Linked DNA regions of Anolis sagrei. The protein of the gene in region 2 purifies or fractionates together with the protein of the main gene of each other region. This does not show direct contact. Links are inferred from orthologs where the notes say so. Each region holds a gene or a part of one and is shown on either strand. Other genes may lie near its edges.

Region 1 (7,073 bases), on a different chromosome or scaffold from region 2:
GAAACAGGTCTAACATTTCAGGCACCAAATGTTTACTAGACAAAAGAAAACATATATGATATATTCTTTGTGCCTTGTCATTCAGTGCAAGTTTCTGACATTCTAATATTACCATGTTAATTAAATAACATATGACCTAGCAAAATGCTCATTGTTTCACCCCATTATCACCTGAAGGCACACCCCAAGATTTTTCCCCCCAAGGAAGATCATTGCTGAGAATTCAAATGAACTCCTGATAAAACTAGTAGTTTGAATACTGCATTGCAAAAACAAACTCCACTTCAGTGCCCTACAATTCAAGCTACTTCAAGGTTGTTTCTGGTGTTATGCTGATTCAGGGCAGAATATTCATGAATGCTTCTTACAACTCACAAGAGCTTGGGGCTTTCTGGTTCATCAAAAAGATGCCGGGGGGGGGGGGGGGGGGTTGGCAGCGGGTGGTGAGTATTCTCTCACACAAGCTGATCCAATAAAGTTATTGACATCAAGTTCAGGACAAACAAAATAAAGTATTTCACACCTGTCAAGGTAATTACTGCAAATTGTGGTTATGGTTGCTAAATTAGATGGGTTTTTAAAGGCCTAGACAGATTATTGGAGGTTGCAGTGATCAACACTTTTAAGTCATGAGACTTAACCTTCCATGACCAGTAGTTGTAAACATCTGAGTACCAGATGCTCTGAATAAACAACAGATTGGGACCTTTGCCTTCCTGCCCTTCTTATGAACCTCTAGCGCACCTGGCAGGTGATTGTTTGAATGTTGGAGTAGATGAAACTTGGTCTGATTCATCAAAACAGTTCTTCTGCACACAGAAGCCTTATGAGAACTGACCTGTAGGCAGCCAACTAAGGTGACCTGTAAGTCTGAAACACACCTTTGGGAATAAAAATAAAGAACTGAAACCTGTCAAGGAAGAAGCAGAATTTGAGTCATAAGTCAGGGCTGAAGTGTCAGAGCTTAGAAAGATATTGCTATAAACAAGCCAGTGGTAAGGGAACCTTTGGTCACCTAAATCTTTTGACATATAGTTCCCAAGGTTTATTACCATTGGTGACGCTGGGTGGGGTGGATGGAAGGCTAAAACATATGAAAGGGAAATGTTTCCCTACATTAGATTTACTGTTTAGACTCAAATATAGACTCATAAGTGATCAACTACGGTATAGTCAAGCTCATATGTAAGTCAACCCCATTTATAAGTTTTTCTTTTAATTTGCATTTGGATGACGAATTTAACTTGGCGAACCACTTTTAATGTATATTTATAACCGTTTTAATGTATATGGTTGTATTTTATGATATGTTTTATATTGTGTTGGCACTGAATGGTTGCCTGTTGAAAGCCATCCTGAGTCCCTCTTCGGAGGTTGAGAAGGACGGGGTATAACTGTTTTAAATAAATACACACATATATAAAACCAACAATTTTTGGAGGCACAGTGAAGTGCCAGCTATGTCTTTATTTTAAAGTCGTTTACATTTTCTAAGCTTTTTAAGGCATGTTATCTGAGCTTTTTCCAATGTGAAAAAATACATTTAAAAGCTTTTAGGCCTCGTGCCATATATTTGAAATGATATGCCTTCAGATGTGATAATTCAACAGGTCATACCCCAAATTACCGCTATCTGACATGAACTATATGTTTTAACAGAGAAAGACTGATGTGTATCAAATAACACAAAGGATATAAAAAATTGTTGCTTTAGAAAATCTGATGCTTGAGTGACATGTTAGTTTAATATTATATTTTGTATTTTATTCAGATAATTTGTTTTACAATTAGATTGTAAAGTTTTATGATTCTTGTCATCCCTTTACATTTGCATATTTGAGATTGTAAGCCACTGACAGAACCCTCCATTTGGGGGTGTTTTCTTGTAAAGTGCCTTGAAAATGGATGGTTACACACACACACACACACAATTATGCTTTTTATGAAAAATGGGTTCAAGATACAATATTCTTAATAATATATATCCATTTAGAAAACAGGTTGAGAGGAGCTCTTAGTTTTACAATTGCCAATTTAAACATATCTAGAAATAGATAAATTTAATCAACCTGTACTACTTGAACAAAAGGTATATCCTGGATTAAGGCCACTGGGATGCTGGCAGCTTTACGGTGAAGGAGACTAAAGGTGGTTAAGAATTATTTTAATGGTACTACTCCTCTACCATAAACTATTGAGCGTACCTAATCTATGCTACTTATCGTTATTCTTTTCTCTCTCTTATCTGTCATTTTACAGTCTTCCCCCTGTTTCTCTGTGTTGTCACAAAAGAGTCCTACAGGCAACCATTGGAAGTGGCCTGGTGTCATGTGATAGCCTCCGTGGGACTCTGTTTCAGTAGCACAAAGAAATTGAGAGAAGACTGAAGGGATTGTGGCACAGCTGGCTGTCAGCTGCATTAAGAGCACTCTGACCAAAAGGTCATGAGTTTGAAGCCAGCCCGGGTTGGAGTGGGCTTCCAACCAATTGTGTAGCCTGTTGTCGACCTTTGCAACCCGAAAGACAGTTGCATCTGTCAAGTAGGAAAATTAGGTACCACCTTGTGTGGGGAGGCTAAATTAACCAATTTATGAGGCCTTAAAAAAGACTCCAGCAAAGCACTCCAGCAAAAGCATGCGAGGAATGCGGAAGTACTTCATCAGTGTCGCAGAAGGACGATGAAAGCGACAGCTCCCCTGGCAGCCAGAAAAAGGTAAATAGCCTCTGTGTATGTCTGTATATGTTGCATGTCAAATTGGCATTGAATGTTTGCCATATATGTGTACACTGTAATCCGCCCTGAGTCCCCTGTGGGGTGAGAAGGGCGGAATATAAATACTGTAAATAAATAAATAAATAAATAAACATGCCCAGCTCCTTAAGCCACTCCTCATAGGGCTTGTTCTCCAAACCCTTGATCATTTGAGTCGCCCTACTCTGCACACAGTCCAGCTTGTCAACATCTCCCTTCAATCGCTGTGCCCAGAATTGGACATTTCAGGTGTGGTCTGACCAAGGCATAATAGAGGGGGAGCATGACTTCCCTGGATCTAGACACTATACTCCTATTTATGCAAGCAAAAATCCCATTGCCTTTTAAGCTGCCGCATGACATTGTGGTCTCATGTTCACCTTCCTGTCCACGAGGACTCCAAGATCTTTTTCACATGTCGAGCCAAACATCCCTCATTCTGTATTGTTGCAGAATGACTATGAGGATGGAGACTGCTTTTAGCCCAGTGGGTCCTCCATCCTTGATAAAACTATAAATCCTTGAGTTTGATTTGTGTATATATTTTATTGGGGGCAGGCTTGTAGCCAGGATTTTGTTTCGGGGGGGGGGGGGGGGTGAGTTTGATTCGGGGGGGGGGGGGTGAGTCTGAGTGAAAGAGGCCCTACCCTAGCAAACCTTTTGTATCATTACCCCAATACCCCCATACATATGGGATATATTGAGCATGGTGATCAGATCATGATATGAATAAACATAACAGTTTAAATAATGTACCAGTAAGGTCTTCTCGCGGACCACCCTGAGAATTTCGGGGGGGGGGGGCTGAAGCCCCCCAAGCCCCCCCCCCTCCCGGCTACATGCCTGATTGGGGGTGGTGGTCTGGTGTCTTTGATGGCTCAGTGCTACATCACCATGGGATCTGGAGCACAGTGAGGCACCAGCACTCTTTGCAGAGAAGGTTGAAGACATTGGCAAACTACAACTCCCAGGAGACCATAACATTACACCATACCAACTAAAGTGGTGTCAAATCGCAGTAATTCTACAGCAAACTTGCACCGTGACCCAACACTCAGGCCGCCTGATACCGTAAGTTTACTTATTTATAAGAATCTCATCATAGCTCTCAGCCGTGAGGATCCATGTCCCTTCCTGGGCCTTGGGGGGGGGGGGGTGGGCGAGTGGGCAGCCCCTCCCTCCCTCCCTCCCTCCCGGAGCCGAAAGGCCAGGCGAATGCTTGGAGCGTTGCCCCGGCAACCCTCTGGCGGCTGCTGCTGCTCCTCCCTCCCTTGAACTCGCCCGTACCGAACGCATCTCACTCAGCATGAGCCGGCCGGCGGCCCGTCGCCGTGATGCATTGTGGGCCTCGGCAATATGGCTGCCTCCTTGTTGAGTTGCTGAGGCGAGTTTGGCTCTCCGGGACGTTTCCCTCCCGTTCTCCTCACCCGGCAGCCCGGGGCTTTTGTCCAGGGAGAGGAGCCGCCACCTGCCCGCGGCGGGGATGGCGATGCGGCGGACGGGACCCCCATCGCAGGAGCAGCAGCAGCAGGAGGAGGAACGGCCGGGCAGCGAGCAGGCACCGCCTCGGGGGTAGGAGCGTGCTCCCCTCGCCGGCCCACGCCAGAGAGAGAGGCCTCCCGGCAAGGAGAGCTTGCCCGCCGCCGCCTGGACCGGACTGGGCCTGGTCGAGGGTGGGCGTGGTCTTCTCAGCCAGGAGAAGCGAGCCAGGCCTGGAGCACAGAGGCGCCAAGCAGCCCCGGTCCCTGCCAGCTCTGCCGCTCCTCGTCGTCCTTTGGCCAGGGCCTGTCTCTGCAGTTCCCCCATCGTCGCTCCGGTTGTGGCGCCCCGGACCTCCTTCCCATTGGACCCAGAAGCACCACCCGTTTCTGCAAGCATCCCCCTAAGAGCACCCCACAAAAGGGCCCTTAACAGGGACACGCTCCCAGCAACAGCTTCCCCTTTTCACTTGAAAGGAGGCTTCTGGTGTGACTCTGCAGCTGAGTATCCTCACTTCACCTGTCCTCCCTTGGCCACAATTTCCCAGTGTCACTCCTCCTGACCTGCTGTCATCCTGCTTTTATACTTTGTTCCTTCCTTGCAGTGGTTGGAGTTCTTTACTAGAATCACATTCTTCTGCCTAAAATACTTGTAGGCCCATCTTGATGAACTAAGCAGTCTCTATTGTGGAACATTGTTTTCGTGATTTGAAATGACTTTTATGTTTTGTTTAGATTGAGAGGCATTTCGCAATTGCACACCCTATTTGAGAAAGTGAGTGGGAGAAAGAACCTCCATGCACATCTGTGACTTGATTCTTCAGCTAGACAGTGATCATCCATTTCCTGCAAGATAGTTGTCTCTTGTATCGTGATTGCATTACTCACCAAGCTTGCTTCTTCCAAACTGGAAAGCCCCCCCCCCCCCCCCCGCTGCTGAAAAGAGAATATTTCTACACACTTTAACAAACAACAGCATTTGAACAAGACACCTTTCCCTGAAGCGTCACCTGGAACTGCAGTTGAGAGGTTCCCTTGCTCTCCTAATAGCTTTTTTGCTCATACTTTGTTGATCCTTGACTTTTGATCATTGGTTCCCTTGGTTCTTTCTCCTCTCATGGAGTCAGATATGTTGCAGTCTCCCCTACTGGGGCTTGGGGAGGAAGATGAATCAGACATGACTGACTGGAATCTGCCTTTGGCCTTCATGAAGAAGCGGCACTGTGAGAAGATTGAAGGCTCCAAATCACTGGCTCAGAGTTGGCGGATGAAAGACAGGGTAATGATCTCTAGTTACAGTTTTTGTTTGGGAGAAAGAAAAGATTTGCATGTTCTGTTCAACTAGATTCTACACACTTTTTCTGTAGGTCTTGTACATTCCTGGTTGAATTCTATTAATTTATTTTGTGTTGAACACTCAATAAATGTAGCCAACACTGCATGCTAACACGGCACCAAATCACTAGGTTTAAATAATTTGCTTTTTCTTCTTTGAAAATGAATTAATTCTAAGTTAATTAAAATGAGGTCTTAACATTTACTTGGCAAGTATCTGGATGGAGATTGCTTCATGTGGAAGTGTCATGTACAGATTTGTTCTATTAGTGAATTTAAAGTTCTATTTCCTTAACCATGTGTCACATGGGACATTTCATTTTTAATGAAGCTAAAAATGAGAGTGACAACATTTATGAAAATTATACACAACAAAATTTATTTATACAATGGTGTTGTTCTGGTTGTTTTAGAAATGGAAATCCACAAGAAATTATAGAATCTCTGTTCCAGACTCAATTATTTCTCCTGCTAACTTTTTGCAGGAAAGATTATACAGTCAAATTGCTGTTGTTAGGCATTCTAGAATTATTTGTTAATTATTATGTTGCCTTTGAGGAAGTTTAGATAATCAGCGAATGAAGACATTTCTGAGAGAGATAGCTAGTGGGAAAACTTATCAGTCAAATCAACTCCTAAAGTATTCCCTTATATTGATTTACAAAAGTAGGGTTTATGTTTAACAGCAGTATGGAACTTATCTTTATAGCAAGTGAAAAAATTAACCAAAATAACTTGGAATGTTGCCTCATTTGAAATGTGTCTGAATATACAGCTGTCTGTGACCCTGATTACATGGTTTGTTTCACAGCATCAGTATGTAAATAAATCAGTACTAGTCTCACAGTGCTAAAAAGAGATATTTTCTTCCTTGCTCATTCACTGTGGTAAAGTGCTGTTCTGGTACAGCTGCTGTGGAAACTGTATAAGTGCTGGGAGAAGCTTTTCTATGGCATCTCTTTTCTATGCATATGAAGTCGTAATATGGAAATGAATAGTGATTTAGAACTTCTAAAGCTTCTTGAATGCATCTTGTGGTCTGTCAGAACCTACTTTTTCTGTAACACAAGAAGTAGGATTTATGGGTTTTGGGAGTATCCAAGACAACTTAGTGCTGTAAGCAGGATATATGACTTTTTGTTTAATGGTTTATTGTAGATGTTATTTATAAAATTGTATATTATAAATGGTAGTGTAACTGTTTTTTTTATTTTAAAAACAGTAATTAGATATTGCTAAACTTAAAACAAATGTTTGTGGCTAACATGCCGAAGTTCATTTTAATGTGATTGTAAAGGAGCTTAGCCTTCTCTGAGTTCATCCATACTTTCTTACTTGCCCCTTTCATTCCAGTCAGGAAGGCTTCTAGAAGCTTTTTGTTTGGAATGAGTTGTGCCCCAAATGTTAATGATGATTAGATTCTAAAAAGCTGACCAAATACTGTTTTTTGAAATAAATTCTTATATTAAGCATGGCGAATATTCATTTCAGTCCAGCTCTTGATAACA
Region 2 (7,421 bases):
AGAATCCAAAAGTGGCAGGCTAAGACCCAGAACCTCAATCAATTGCTGATACCAAATCAGAGACTCCCCCTTGGCCACACAGAAAACTGGGCAACTTGGAAGGTACTGAACAGACTGCGCTCTGGCACCACGAGATGCAGAGCCAATCTTAAGAAATGGGGCTAAAAAATGGAATCCACGACATGCAAGCGTGGAGAAGAGCAAATCACAAACCACCTGCTGCAATGCAACCTGATCCTCGCCACATGCACAATGGAGGACCTTCTTATAGCGACACCAGAGGCATTCCAAGTGGCCAGCTACTGGTCAAAAACCATTTAGTAGAATGCCAAGTTTTTATTTCTAAAATTTCATATCTAAAAATGAAAATCCAAAAAGAGCCAGAATATTTCTTACTAGGAATGCTGAACCTGGAGGAAGATGAAAACAAAGAGATTTTGTTTAATTTTCTGGCCACGGCAGCCAGAATTGTATTTGCGAAGAACTGGAGATCAAAAGAGATACCAAAAAGAGAGGAATGGCAGAACGAGGTCCTGGAGATAATAAATATGGATAAATTAACTTACTGGCTATCTTCAAATCAAGGGACACCAAAGAAACAAACAAACTGGGACCCAGTAATGTTTTCAAACTTTGTGTGTTTTTTCTAAAAATACAATACAACTGTTTGGTTCGCTCCTGATTGTTGTTCATTTGTTCAGTCGTTTCCGACTCTTTGTGACTTCATGGACCAGTCCATGCCAGAGCTTCCTGTCGGTCGTCACCATTCCCAGCTCCTTCAAGGTCAATCCAGTTACTTCAAGGATGCCATCCATACATCTTGCCCTTGGTCGGCCCTTCTTCCTTTTTCCTTCCATTTTCCCCAGCATCATTGTCTTCTCTAAGCTTTCCTTTCTTCTCATGATGTGGCCAGAGTACTTTATCTTTGCCTCTGCTATCCTTCCCTCCAATGGGCAGTCAGGCTTTATTTCTTGAAGTATGGACTGGTTGGATCTTCTCGCTGTCCAAGGCACTCTCAGTACTTTCCTCCAGCACCACAGTTCAAAAGCATCTATCTTCCTTCGCTCAGTCTTCTCTGCGGTCCAGCTCTCACATCCATAGGTGACTACGATAAATACAATACCTGATACCTGATACAATAAATAAATATATCCCAAAATAAGAGGCATGAATGGAGGGTGAAAGGAAGAAACATGCCAAGAGGAAGGTGCGTCAAGCCAACCCTGACCGGGACCATCTTCCGTCTGGAAACCCATGTCCTCAATGCGGGAGAACATGCAGATAGGGCTCCACAGCCACCTACAGACCCACCGCCAAGACACTACATCTGGAAGACCATCATCCTCGAGCTACGAGGGATCACCTAAGTAAGTACTATTTATTTATTTATTTATTTCTCACATTTCTATCCTGTCCTTCTCAACCCCCGAAGAGGGACTCAGGACGGTTTACAATGGGCCCCATTCCGAAGCCATTACATAACAAATTACAAAATTAAAACCACAATTAGACATAAAAGCATAATTAATGATACATAAGCCATAGTTGTTGGAAACCGCTTTGAGTCACCAATTGGCTGAGAAAGGCAGTATACAAATACAGTAAATAAATAAATAAATAAATAAATAAATAAAACAGTAAAACAATCTCATCAGCCATATCGTCATTCCAGTCATATTCCCTTAAAGTGCTGCTTGCATCTATTGTCCAAAAGCCAGGTCCCAAAACCATGCCTTTAGTTTCTTTCGAAAAACTAGGAGGGAGGTGGCCGTTCTTACCTCAGTTGGGAGTGTGTTCCATAGGCAGGGGGCCACCGTTGAGAAGGCCCTGTCTCTCGTCCCTGCCAGGTGCATTTGTGCTGTTGATGGGAGCGAGAGCAGGGCCTCCACAGATGATCTTAGGTTTTGAGGTGGGACATAGCGGTGGATGCGTTCGGACAAGTAAGTTGGGCCAGAACCGTATAGAGCTGTATAGGTCAAAACCAGCACTTTGAATTGGGCTTGGAGGTGGACTGGCAGCCAGTGGAGCTGGCACAACAAGGGAGTGGTGTGCTCCCTGTATGTCGCCCCAGTTAGTAGTCTGGCTGCCGACCGTTGAACTAGCTAAAGTTTCCAAACTGTCTTCAAAGGCAGCCCCACGTAGAGCGTGTTGCAGTAATCTATTCGAAATGTAATTAGAGCATGGACCACCGTGGCCAAGTCAGACTTCCCAAGGTACTGGCGCAGCTGGTGCACAAGTCTTAGTTGTGCAAAAGCTCCTCTTAAGTACGTAAGAAAATCTCAGAATAGCAATGCAGAAAATCCCACATTATCTGAGTGTGGACTCAGATAACACAGTTTGAAGCAGATACTGTGGGATTTTCTGCCTTGATTTCTGAGATATAGGGCTGTCTGGAAGGGCCCGGAGTGTCATTTGCTGGGGAATATAAGAAGAAGGGCAGCTCTGTTTTTGTCTCTTGCTGTGGGCTTCCTATAGGCCACTGTTTGGGAACTATGTAAGAACCAGATAGCTCTTTGGTTTGATTAACTTTTATTAAGTACTCAGGAGTAGTACCTTCTACTTGCTGCTGTCTTAGGGGCCTTCCACACAGCCATATAACCCAGTATATTAAAGCAGAAAATCCCACAATATCTGCTTTGAACTGGGTTATCTGAGTCCACACTGCCATATATTCCAGTTCAAAGCAGATGACGTGGAATTTTATTCAGCTGCATGGAATAAAATCACAATTGTGGAATATTGTTCCCAGGGATGCTTAGCTAACATACCGTATTTATTTATTTGTCGTGTCAGGGCAACCAGTCAATGGTATTACATTTCTAACAGAACAAAACAAACAGACAGACCAAATACAAAATTTGCGAGTTTGGTAGTTGATTAAATGTCCTTTGACCAGTATCTGGCCACTTGGAGTGCTTCTGGTGTTGCTGCAAGAAGGTCCTCCATTGTGCATGTGGCAGGGCTCAGGGTGCATTGCAGCAGGTGGTTTGTGATTTGCTCTTCTCCACACTCGCATGTCGTGGATTCCGCCCTGTAGCCCCATTTCTTAAGGTTGGCTCTGCATCTCGTGGTGCCCGAGCACAGTCTGTTCAGCACCTTCCAAGTTGCATAGTCTTCTGTGTGCCCAGGGGGGAGTCTCTCATTTGGTATCAGCCATTGGTTGAGGTTCTGGGTTTGAGCCTGCCACTTTTGGACTCTCGCTTGCTGAGGTGTTCCAGCGAGTGTCTCTGTAGATCTTAGAAAACTATTTCTAGATTTAAGTCGTTGATGTGCTGGCTGATACCCAAACAGGGGATGAGCTGGAGATGTCACTGCCTTGGTCCTTTCACTATTGGCTGCTACTTCCCGGCGGATGTCAGGTGGTGCAATACCGGCTAAGCAGTGTAATTTCTCCAGTGGTGTAGGGCGCAGACACCCCGTGATAATGCGGCATGTCTCAGTAAGAGTCACATCTACTGTTTTATTTGTTTATTTATTTATTTAATTTATTTGTATACCGCTCTTCTCAGCCCTTAGGCGACTCAAAGCGGTTTACAACAATTTAGGTATACACAATACAAAATCAATTAAGCATTTAAAAGCAATAGCATCACAAATCATTAAACATCAGCATCAATACATCACTACATCAATATAACAAATCCATCAGGTCTCATCAATGAAATCAGAATCCAAAACTCGTTATCCATTATTCCGTGTTCCAATAGTCAGTCAATCAATCACACTGTTTTAGTGTGGTGAGATGTGTTCCACACAGGGCATGTGTACTCAGCAGCATAGCACAAGGGCAGATGTCTTTCACTCTGTCTGGTTGTGATCCCCAGGTTGTGCCAGTCAGCTTTCGTATGATATTGTTTCTAGCATCTACTTTTTGCTTTATGTTCAGGCAGTGCTGTATTATAACATAACAAGTCAGAAGTAAGTGTGGGTGGTGATGGACATACCTTTAGGACAGCAGTGTTGGGAAGCAGGTAAACAACCCACCCTGGTGTCTTTTCCCCAATTTAAATCACTGCTTGGATTTCAGGCATTCATGGACCTCCTATTGTGGGATATAGGGCTGTGCGGAGGGGACGTGCCCAGGGGACGCCCGGATGATTTGATGTTTTTACCATCCTTGTGGGAGGCTTCTCTCATGTCCCCGCATGAGGAGCTGGAGCTGATAGAGGGAGCTCATATCCGCCTCTCCCCGGATTCGAACCTGCGACCTGTCGGTCTTCAGTCCTGCCGGCACAGGGGTTTAACCCACTGCGCCACCGGGGGCTCCTAATAGACTTGATGAGGAAGGAGGCGTGGCCAAGGAATCCCCGCCTTCCGGGTTCCCTGGGTGACGTAGGGAGGTGGGGAGGGGAGGGGAGGGGGCCCTCTCGGCGTGATGTCAGGGTGTTTCCCGCTGACGTCCCGTCGCGCATGCGCGGCGATTCCGGGTGACGTCACGGCCGGGGGCGTGACGTGCGGCGGCCGCGGCTGGTGGCCTGGGTCTCTCTTCTCAGTCTTCCTCCTCCTCCCTCTCCTGTTTCCCCCTCGGTGGCCCCGCCCCCCTCTCCAACTACGGGTCGCGGTTGGGGGCGGCCGGGTCGCTCTCGCCGCCCCCCTCCCCCGACTCTTCCCCCTCCTTCTCCGCGCGCTCCAAGATGGCGGCGGTGAGCAGCGACGGAGACGCCGAGGGGGCCTCGCTCTTCAACGGGGACATGGAGGCTGAGCTGCCGCCGCTGCCGCCACTACCGCCGCTGCCGCCGCTCCCGCCTCTGCCCCCGCTGCCGCCCCTACCGCCGCTCCCGCCTCTGCCAGAGGGCTTCTCAGGAGAGGGAAGCGCCGCAGGGGGAGACCCGGCCGTGCCGGAGGAGGTGAGGCCCGCTGGGCTCGGCAACGACGGCAACCGGCCTGGTATCCATCCCGAGGCAGTCCCTTTGCCCTCGCTTTGCTACATTGAGGCCCCGGCTTTGCAAGCGCAGGCCAAAGGAGCTTGGAAGTGCATCTGCTCCAGGCATGGGCCAACTTGGGCCCTGCAGGTGTTTTGGACTTCAACTCCCACCATTCCTAACCGGCTCAGACCCTTTCCTTTCCCCCCTCAGCCGCTTAAGCTGTTAGGAATGGTGGGAGTTGAAGTCCAAAACTCCTGCAGAGGCCAAGTTGGCCCATGCCTCGTGTAGACACATCCAATGTCTTCTGATGGAGATACAATGATAGTCTTGTGAAATTAGGGGAGGGAATTACGGGAAGGCTCAATCCTATGATGCAGCAGCTCACAGGCCCGGATAGCCAGGATTTCATTTCGGGGGGGGGGGGCTGAGTTTCGGGGGGGGGGCTGAGTCTGAGTGAAAGAGGGTCTAGCCTAGCAAACCTTTTGTATCATTACCCCAATACCCCCATGCATATGGGGTATATTGAGCATGGTGATCAGATCATGATATGAATAAACATAACAGTTTAAATAATGCACCAGTTAGGCCTTTTCGCAAACCACCATGAGAATTTCGGGGGGGGGGGGGGGGCTGAAGCCCCTCAAGCCCCCCCCCCCCCCCCCCGCTACATGCCTGGCAACTTGTAAAGCCAATGCAATTCAAGGCTGCATCCATTGGAGTCTAGTGCAGGGGTCCTCAAACTTCTTAAACAGAGGGCCAAATTATAATCCAGCCCCTCAAACTGTTGGAGGGCCGGATTATAATTTGAAAAAAACATGAATGAATTCCTGTGCACACTGCACATATCAGCACAATTCAAGACAAGCTGGAATGTGTCCAGAGGAGGGCGACTAAAATGATCAGAGGTCTGGAGAACAAGCCCTATGAGGAGCAGCTTAAGGAGCTGGGCGTGTTTAGCCTGAAGAAGAGAAGGCTGAGACAGGCATGTAGCAGGGGAGGGGGCTCGGAGGGGCTTCAGCCCCCTCCCCCCTGAAATTCTCATGGTGGTTCGCGAAAAGGCCTTACTGGTGCATTATTTAAACTTATGTTTATTCATATCATGATCTGATCACCATACTCAATATATCCCATATGCATGGGGGTATTGGGGTAATGATACCAAAGGTTTGCTAGGCTAGACCCTCTTTCACTCAGACTCAGCCCCTCCCAAAACTCAGCCCCCCCCCGAAAACCCCCCTGAAAAAAACTCAGCCCCCCCCCCCCCCCAAACGAAATCCTGGCTACGGGCCTGGGCTGAGAGGAGATATGATAGTGATGTATAAATATGTGAGAGGAAGCCACAGGGAGGAGGGAGCAAGCTTGTTTTCTGCTTCCCTGGAGACCAGGACACGAAACAATGGCTTCAAACTACAAGAAAGGAGATTCCATCTGAACATGAGGAAGAACTTCCTGACTGTGAGAGCTGTTCAGCAGTGGAACTCTCTGCCCCGGAGTGTGGCGGAGGCTCCTTCTTTGGAAGCTTTTAAACAGAGGTGGGATGGCCATCTGTCAAGGGTGATTTGAATGCAAAATTACTGCTTCTTGGTTGAACTGGATGGCCCATGAGGTCTTTTCCAACTCTTTGATTCTATGAATCTATCTTATTTTTAGTACAACATACACTTATAATTAAAATGAAGAACAATTTTAACAAATATAAACTTATTAGTATTTCAATGGGAAGTGTGGACTTGCTTTTGACTGATGAGATAGTACTATTGTTGTTTGGTGTTGTTATTGTGTGCTTTCAAGTTGTTTCAGACTTAGGTTGACCCTGAGTGAGGGCTGGGTAAATAACCTTGGAGAGCCGTATCCAGCCCGCGGGCCTTAGTTTGAGGACCCCTGGTCTAGTGTCTTGGTCAAGTGAAGTCATAGACACCCCCCCCCCACACACACACACACATTCTGCTTTGGACAGACAGCTGGAATACTGTGTCAGTCTCTAGACAATACCACAGTTTAAGAAGGATATTGACGAACGGGTCAAAAGTCTGGAAACCAAACCCTCTGAGAAGCAACTTAGGGAGCTGGGTGTATTTAGCTTTGTGAAGAGAAAGCTGGAAGGGGACATGATAGCCTGATTAAATACCTGAAAGGATGTCACGTGGAGGAGAGAGAAAGCATGTTTTCTGCTGCTCCTGAGACTAGGATACAGAGCAGTGGATTCAGATTGCAGGAAAAGTGATTCCATTTCAACTAGTGTGAAGAGAAGGCTGGAAAGGGATCGTGATAGCCAGATTGAATACTGGAAAGGATGTCACATGGAGGAGGGAGAAAGCATGTTTTCTGCTGCTCCTGAGACTAGGATACAGAGCACTGGATTCGGATTGCGGGGAAAATTATTCCACCTTGACCAGTAGTTCCCAACCTTTTTTTGACCAGGGACCACTCTCCAACATTAGTACCAAAAGGGTTACAAATCAGCTTTTGGTCAACTTCAGATTCAGTTTGGTTATTTGGGCTGCGGATTCAGAAAATTGCATTGGATAGACCACATCAGCTCTAGTTTCTGATACA

The links.
Region 1: the proteins of BRAF (region 2) and RPTOR purify together in Homo sapiens (affinity purification with mass spectrometry; 3 studies listed by BioGRID and IntAct, with this or other methods). This does not show direct contact. The link is inferred for Anolis sagrei from reciprocal best matches to the Homo sapiens genes BRAF and RPTOR.

The regions. Positions count from the first base shown.
Region 1 is NC_090022.1:130,447,440-130,454,512, forward strand, and holds the start of RPTOR (regulatory-associated protein of mTOR), read left to right. Parts: upstream 1-4,053; 5' UTR 4,054-5,347; coding exon 5,348-5,509; intron 5,510-7,073. UniProt on the Homo sapiens protein: Component of the mechanistic target of rapamycin complex 1 (mTORC1), an evolutionarily conserved central nutrient sensor that stimulates anabolic reactions and macromolecule biosynthesis to promote cellular biomass generation and growth.
Region 2 is NC_090025.1:173,530,087-173,537,507, reverse strand, and holds the start of BRAF (serine/threonine-protein kinase B-raf), read left to right. Parts: upstream 1-4,420; 5' UTR 4,421-4,634; coding exon 4,635-4,847; intron 4,848-7,421. UniProt on the Homo sapiens protein: Protein kinase involved in the transduction of mitogenic signals from the cell membrane to the nucleus. Phosphorylates MAP2K1, and thereby activates the MAP kinase signal transduction pathway. Phosphorylates PFKFB2.